2 linked regions of the Xenopus tropicalis genome follow. The protein of the gene in region 1 interacts with the protein of each later gene in a pairwise test. Links are inferred from orthologs where the notes say so. Each region holds a gene or a part of one and is shown in the gene's direction. Other genes may lie near its edges.

Region 1 (4,561 bases):
CTGGGTAATGGTGTGACTGTCTCTCAGTGAGTGTCTCTCAGTGAGTGACTCTGGGTAATGGTGTGACTGTCTCTCAGTGAGTGTCTCTCAGTGAGGGACTCTGGGTAATGGTGTGAGTGTCTCTCAGTGAGTGTCTCTCAGTGAGGAACTCTGGATAATGGTGTGAGTGTCTCTCAGTGAGTGTCTCTCAGTGAGTGACTCTGGGTAATGGTGTGAGTGTCTCTCAGTGAGTGTCTCTCAGTGAGTGACTCTGGGTAATGGTGTGAGTGTCTCTCAGTGAGTGTCTCTCAGTGAGTGTCTCTGGGTAATGGTGTGAGTGTCTCTCAGTGAGTGTCTCTCAGTGAGTGTCTCTCAGTGAGTGACTCTGGGTAATGGTGTGACTGTCTCTCAGTGAGTGTCTCTCAGTGAGGGACTCTGGGTAATGGTGTGACTGTCTCTCAGTGAGTGTCTCTCAGTGAGGGACTCTGGGTAATGGTGTGACTGTCTCTCAGTGAGTGACTCTGGGTAATGGTGTGACTGTCTCTCAGTGAGTGACTCTGGGTAATGGTGTGACTGTCTCTCAGTGAGTGACTCTGGGTAATGGTGTGAGTGTCTCTCAGTGAGGAACTCTGGGTAATGGTGTGACTGTCTCTCAGTGAGTGTCTCTCAGTGAGTGACTCTGGGTAATGGTGTGAGTGTCTCTCAGTGAGTGTCTCTCAGTGAGTGACTCTGGGTAATGGTGTGAGTGTCTCTCAGTGAGTGTCTCTCAGTGAGTGACTCTGGGTAATGGGGTGAGTGTCTCTCAGTGAGGAACTCTGGGTAATGGGGTGAGTGTCTCTCAGTGAGGAACTCTGGGTAATGGTGTGACTGTCTCCCAGTGAGTGTCTCTCAGTGAGGAACTCTGGGTAATGGTGTGAGTGTCTCTCAGTGAGGAACTCTGGGTAATGGTGTGACTGTCTCTCAGTGAGTGTCTCTGGGTAATGGTGTGAGTGTCTCTCAGTGAGTGTCTCTCAGTGAGGAACTCTGGGTAATGGGGTGAGTGTCTCTCAGTGAGGAACTCTGGGTAATGGTTGTGACTGTCTCTCAGTGAGTGTCTCTCAGTGAGGAACTCTGGGTAATGGTGTGAGTGTCTCTCAGTGAGGAACTCTGGGTAATGGTGTGAGTGTCTCTCAGTGAGGAACTCTGGGTAATGGTGTGAGTGTCTCTCAGTGAGGAACTCTGGGTAATGGTGTGAGTGTCTCTCAGTGAGTGACTCTGGGTAATGGTGTGACTGTCTCTCAGTGAGTGTCTCTCAGTGAGTGTCTCTCAGTGAGGAACTCTGGGTAATGGTGTGAGTGTCTCTCAGTGAGTGACTCTGGGTAATGGTGTGAGTGTCTCTCAGTGAGGAACTCTGGGTAATGGTGTGAGTGTCTCTCAGTGAGTGTCTCTCAGTGAGTGTCTCTCAGTGAGTGACTCTGGGTAATGGTGTGAGTGTCTCTCAGTGAGTGTCTCTCAGTGAGGAACTCTGGGTAATGGTGAGTCTCAGACTGTGCGTCGCTCACAGTGTCCGGCCCCGCCCACATTCCTGCCTCCCGCTACTTGCAGTCTCCTCCCACAAGTGTCCGTGTCTCCGCCCCATTCCCGCCTGTGCCCCGCCCCTGTTCCCCGGTGCCTCCTCCCCGGGCTGTGAGTGGCTCCCCCGGCCCGTGTGGCTCAGTGCTGTCTCCGCTCTGCCCCAGGCTGATGGCGCTAGTCGGTAACTCGGGGCCCCCACAGTCCGCCTGACTCTCCCGCCCTCCCTCCGTACTCCAGGCCGCGGCCCGGGCCTAGCCTTGCTGTGGGACTCCCCGGGGCCATGTCTAACCAGGGATCCCGGCGGAACGGGCCGGTGAAGCTGCGACTGACCGGTGAGTAGGCCCGATACCCCTGCGTGGGGCAGAAGGCTCAGGGTGGGAGGGATCACAACAACAAGTTGGGCCCGGTGCTTCCCAGCATTCCGTGCGTTTGTCATGAGTTCCGGGGGCAAGTAGGGTAATATTCACCCCAGCTACTTCCTGCCGTTAGTTACCCCTCAGGCCTAACCTGCATGTTCCATTGAGCCCAGGGGCCCCTCTGGCTTGGCCTGGAGCTGAGCAATTGCCCTTTGAGGCAGGATTACTTGCCCTAGGTGGGGGTAACTAGTTGGTTTGGGGCCCTGGGTGCTTCTGGGGTCACACCCTGTGCTTATTGGGGTCCTGCCCAGGCTGTGAGTGCGCCCCCTAATTACAGGGCAATAACGAGACCTAATTAATAGAGTTTATATGAGTCTGGCGCTTGTACCCCTGTATGGGGCAGTTAGCTCATGTATGTGCCTGATTCCTGCGCCACTTGCCCCTGTATAGGGGGTACTTATTAGAGGGAAGAAGTCACTTGTGTAGGCTTGTGGGGGCGCCAGGAACCCTAAAATAAACCCCAAATGCCCAACCCCTCCCCTATCGGCCAGGCCTGGGGGCTGCAACCATCTTCCTTCAAGGCTTCGCAATCCCCTTTCTGGGCTAATGTGCATTTGGGGCAACTAGGATTGCTGCTCTTTGGATTCTGCCCCTGCTCAAGGTACCAACATGGCTCCTCAGCCCCAATGTGTCTGAGTTGCATCTCGATTGTGAAATAAGTTTTAGTCCTTTAATGGCATTTTACTGTATTTTGCGTGAAATCTGGAGTGGTCATTGGGGTATGTAATGGATCTGCCCTGGGCACTGCCACCCTTGGCTACTGGAACTCTGGCTGGACCTTATTTGCCCTTTAACTCATCTTTGAAGAGGATGCTGGGATTTGTAGTTCTTTAACAGCTGGTTGCCTAGGCATTCAAAAAGCAGTATTACTAAGTCCTTACCATATGGGCCCCCCTTTCCTCACTGACTACAGGGGGGCTGGTATTAAAAGCAATCATGGGTACCCACTCTAACCATAGGAAATGCCCACAATGGCTTGGCATGCAGAGATTTACAGTGGCATCCATGGTAGTGAGTATTGGCCTTGTCTGGCATTGTCCTTTAATTGTGAACCCTGTTGTTCGGGTTGCCTTTTGCTCACACTGAATGCTGGGAGATGTAGTTTCACAATATGTGGGCCTCTGGCCTAGGTGCCCTGCATTGTCAGTACAAGTGCAGCTGAGTGTGAGAGAGTACATGGAATATGAATCATGGTTTCTTATGGAGTCATTCACACTGGCAGTTTCCTTCTGAGCATTTATACAGAAACCATAGAGTTGTGCCCATAGGCAGACATACAGATACCATAGAGTTGTGCCCATAGGCAGACATACAGAAGCCATAGAATTGTGCCTATAGGCAGACATACAGAAGCCATAGAGTTGTGCCTATAGGCAGACATACAGATACCATAGAGTTGTGCCCATAGGCAGACATACAGATGCCATAGAGTTGTGCCTATAGGCAGACATACAGATACCATAGAGTTGTGCCCATAGGCAGACATACAGATACCATAGAGTTGTGCCCATAGGCAGACATACAGAAGCCATAGAGTTGTGCCCATAGGCAGACATACAGATGCCATAGAGTTGTGCCTATAGGCAAACATACAGAAGCCATAGAGTTGTGCCCATAGGCCCATGTCCCCCTGACAGACCGGCGTAGCCCCAGGTTTCCCCCCTGACAGACCGGCGTAGCCCCAGGTTTCGCCCCTGACAGACCGGCGTAGCCCCAGGTTTCGCCCCTGACAGACCGGCGTAGCCCCAGGTTTCGCCCCTGACAGACCGGCGTAGCCCCAGGTTTCCCCCCTGACAGACCGGCGTAGCCCCAGGTTTCGCCCCTGACAGACCGGCGTAGCCCCAGGTTTCGCCCCTGACAGACCGGCGTAGCCCCAGGTTTCCCCCCTGACAGACCGGCGTAGCCCCAGGTTTCCCCCCTGACAGACCGGCGTAGCCCCAGGTTTCCCCCCTGACAGACCGGCGTAGCCCCAGGTTTCCCCCCTGACAGACCGGCGTAGCCCCAGGTTTCGCCCCTGACAGACCGGCGTAGCCCCAGGTTTCCCCCCTGACAGACCGGCGTAGCCCCAGGTTTCCCCCCTGACAGACCGGCGTAGCCCCAGGTTTCGCCCCTGACAGACCGGCGTAGCCCCAGGTTTCCCCCCTGACAGACCGGCGTAGCCCCAGGTTTCCCCCCTGACAGACCGGCGTAGCCCCAGGTTTCCCCCCTGACAGACCGGCGTAGCCCCCAGGTTTCCCCCCTGACAGACCGGCGTAGCCCCAGGTTTCCCCCCTGACAGACCGGCGTAGCCCCAGGTTTCCCCCCTGACAGACCGGCGTAGCCCCAGGTTTCCCCCCTGACAGACCGGCGTAGCCCCAGGTTTCCCCCCTGACAGACCGGCGTTATAAAGTCATTATGGCTGGGAATGTCAATGCTATAAATGCAGTGATGACCTGCTTTGTCAGCGTGTTCCTCTGGGCCGGTCCCAGCTGCAGATTCCATGGCCAGGTACCGGGATGTGCATGTTGTTCTGACCCATTATGGTACTGTGTAAGGCCAGGTACCGGGATGTGCATGTTGTTCTGACCCATTATGGTACTGTGTAAGGCCAGGTACCGGGATGTGCATGTTGT
Region 2 (3,812 bases), on another chromosome or scaffold:
TCCTTTAGCCCCTGGGTGCAGCGTTGCCCTATCCAAACTCATTTCAGCCAATGGGGAATAACCCTTCTTACATTTAGATTCTGTGTGACCTGCAGCCTGAACTCACTGACTGCCTTGGTCTGAGCCTTCCATGCCTAGTAACTTAGAAATGCAATTGATGTGTGAATTTTATGCAGCTTTAAAAATTCTGCTTCTTTTTATCATTCAGCGATGGAGAAAAATGCACCCCCTGAAAATCTGGAAAACACCTTGCTTCGGAGCATTGAGGATGAATACAGGAAAGCGTTTAAATACATAAATAAAGGTTTGAGTACAGACGAGACAGGGTATAAGGAAGAGGCTCGCAACTATTACAAGCAAGGACAGGAGCATCTAATAAGAGGATTAAATATATCCTTACAGAGGCCAGAGTTCACTGGCCCAGCTTGGGATAATGCCAGGCAAATGCAAGCTAAGATGGAGGAAACCCTGCAGAATGTAAACACACGTTTGAATATCCTACAGCAGAGTTTGACTTCACTTCCTTCCAATTCCGCTGCAGAAAATGCTTCATCCCAGATGCCTGCTTTGTACCCAGCCTTGCCACCTAAGGAGAAAGAGAAGCCAGAGAGGCCACCGCCTCCCATATCTCTTGTTTGCCCCTCAGAACCATGTCCAGTGAATGGTTTCTCCTCTGTGCCAAGTAGCGAAACTGTTCAGCCCATAGATCCCATCATGGGAGCACCTACACCCCCAGCATATACCCCTCAGGCTACCGAAGGTCATTATACAGTATCATATGGGACAGAATCAGGGGAGCTTTCAACTGTAGGAGTTGAGTTCTACTCCATGGCAGCACAGCCACCACCCGTGCAGAGTCTTGGGGTGGATGCAGAAGAGCTGATTCTTATTCCACAAGGGGTGCAGATATTTTTTGTAACAGCAGATGGCCTTGTCACTGCACCCTCATATCCAGGGTACCTTCGCATCATAAAGTTTATGGACACCAATAGTGAGGTGGCTCAGAATCGCCCACCTGCTTTTCTTCAGGTAAGATAAACACTAAGTGCTTCATTTCATTCTGCTGCTAGGGGCAAAGGTTTTCACAAGCCAACCCCTAAATGCCTTTTAGTATATAAGTATAGAACACACTAAGTCCAGTATATAAGAATGCTATGAAGCATACACACACATCCTATAGCTCTTGAACAGTACTACAGTTCCTAACGTCACTGAGAGGAATGCTGGGAGTTTAGCATGAGTTAAGGGAAAATGCAGAGTATTATATATATTAATTTGTATATTTTACACTCGACTCCTAGTGCATCTCACAATCACATGATGTATCTTCATTTGTCTTCATTTTTTATTTCTTAGTTTTTAAATAATATGCCCAGCAGCCAAAAAATATTTTATTGCTATAGCTACATTTTATTACTGATCTTTCTATTCAGGCCCTCTCCTATTTATACTCCAGTCTCTCATTCAAACCACTGTCTGGTTGCTAGTGTAAATTGGACCCTAGCAACCGGACAGCTGCTGAAATTCCAAACTAGAGAACTGCTGAACAAAAAGCTAAATAATTAAAAAACACACAATAAAAAAATGAAGACCTATTGTAAATTGACTCAGAATATAAATATTTACATCATACTACAAGTTAATTTTAAGGTGAACAAATTCTTTTAAAATGCTATCTGCACCCGCTATTGGGTCTCATAATCTCATCCCTCTGATCCAGTTAGAATATAAATGGAAACAATACAGGCAACGATTCAGGAGACACTTATGCCATCAGTGCCTATTCTGGCAACAAATACCAATATTCCTGCTTGGTTTTCAGTCAAAACATTTCACCCTCTGTCTCTCTTTTAGTGCTTGGTTATTCAAGCAGGGGCAAGTCTGCGCTCAGATTTTGAAATCTTAGTAATAAGGTGGCAATACACTGCCCTAGGCATGGACTGCCACTCTGTGGGTTCTGGAAAATGCCAGTGGGGCTGCTGTAAGATGCCATAGACAGTTACTATTTGTTGGGCCTGTGGGGGCTGTTTGGGTTTCTGTGTATTTGTAATACCAGGGCCTAATTTGAATCCTGGTCCAGATCTGCAAGGCCCAATAAAAGCTTCCAACAGACCAAGTCAGTACCTTATCGGCCTGTGTATGGAGCCCTCTGATATGCCTACCTAACCAGTATCTGGTCAAGATATTGATCAGGCAGGTTTGAATATCCCATTAGGGATACAGGCAGTTGATGTGATCCTCGTCTTAACAGCCTGTATTCCCATTATTGTTATGGTCACCTTTAGGCATGAGCTATCTGTGTGTGTGTTGTAAATAAGTGAGTGATATAAGTAACTTGTTTATATAGGTGACTAGGCTGTTACACAACACTAATCTCTGGATAGATTCTCTCTTGGTTATTAGATAATCACCATTGACTGACAGGGAATTAGGATTTAGACTGGCCCTTTCAGTTTCTCAGCAGTGATTTACAGCAGACATCAGGATGTGCCTTGAAACTTGACAGAGCAAGGAAAAAGAGCCAATATATGAGCAGATGGACAAGACATTACTGAAGCGATAATAAGGAAATGTAACAAGCAGCTCAAGTGCCAAAGCTATGGAACCTGGGACATTGAGCAGGGAAAGTGAAGGCGTAGGACAAAGTAAATGAGTATATGTACAGGAGCAAGCTAGCTATAAATGTATGGATTTGTTTTCTAAACAAACACAATGAGCAGCACTGCTTGCCACAATCCACCAGATCTGTATGTGTATCTGTAGCTCATTTAGAAACAAAAAAGAAGAAATATTGGGGCACAAGGCTTAACTCAGAGGATTAAGACCAGATGTGTGTGCTGGTCCCAGTGGCACAAATAAAAAAGACTTCTAGAATCCTGTAACTGGCCGCACCAGCCTTCCCATGACAATCGCGACTGCTAATAATTAAGTAGGGAACTATAATGAAAAATGAAATTAATTTTATTGGTAAGCGTTAACATTAATGACTTAATTACACTCAGACATATAAAAACCCAATGTCATTATGGGTATATGTCAAATACTAGAAAAGCAGTGCTAATTATAACCAGACTTAGCATGTCCCTGTTTTAGGCTGATGGTGTAAAGTGGTGTCTTATCTGAGTATCTTTGCTTTTTTGTTGATTTTAATTTACTCCAAGGTTCAAAATGTCCTCTGGGCTTTTTGCAGGTCTGTGATTGGTTGTACCCCCTCATGTGTACTCAGTCGCCAGTCCTGCGCACTAACACTGGAGTCTACATGTTCCCAGACGTGATGTCCCAGTTACCTGGATCCTATGTGGGAGTGGTTCTCTCTTCTGAGCTGCCCATTGCTGACCAGGAACTGTTTGAGGACCTGCTGAGACAGATGTCAGATCTGAGAATTCAGGTACATGAAATGCACTGTACTGTCCATTGCAGCCTTACCTCCTATTCACTCAAGCACCTGTGGGTATATTACCTTGTTCAGATGTATAAACTCCATAAACCTTGTCTTGTATGGATGGAGATATGTCCACACTGTTCATCTGATCGGCCATCTAGTTTTGCAGTCTTGTTAGCTGTGCACAGAGGACACTCCAATGATAGATAATGCCCAGATGCAGTCTTACCTAAAAAGAACATAAATCCATAAGCATCTGTTATAACCCCAATTATCAAATACACAATAAGGTGTTACTAGACCCATACAGCACCCCACTATGCTGTGATACTACATCCCTTTTCCCTCAGCACAGCCTCAGTCCTTACTATGCCCTCTCAGCAATCTGTCTCTCTACATGAGAGAGAGACATTTAGCTCTAAGGGCTCGT

The links.
Region 2: the proteins of smurf2 (region 1) and spart interact in a two-hybrid assay, tested with the Homo sapiens proteins (2 studies listed by BioGRID and IntAct). The link is inferred for Xenopus tropicalis from reciprocal best matches to the Homo sapiens genes SMURF2 and SPART.

Annotation. Positions count from the first base shown.
Region 1 is NC_030686.2:51,425,448-51,430,008, forward strand, and holds the start of smurf2 (E3 ubiquitin-protein ligase SMURF2), read left to right. Parts: upstream 1-1,573; 5' UTR 1,574-1,813; coding exon 1,814-1,865; intron 1,866-4,561. UniProt on the Homo sapiens protein: E3 ubiquitin-protein ligase which accepts ubiquitin from an E2 ubiquitin-conjugating enzyme in the form of a thioester and then directly transfers the ubiquitin to targeted substrates.
Region 2 is NC_030678.2:151,956,074-151,959,885, forward strand, and holds part of spart (spartin), read left to right. Parts: intron 1-208; coding exon of another isoform or gene 209-210; coding exon 211-1,029; intron 1,030-3,190; coding exon 3,191-3,388; intron 3,389-3,812. UniProt on the Homo sapiens protein: Lipophagy receptor that plays an important role in lipid droplet (LD) turnover in motor neurons.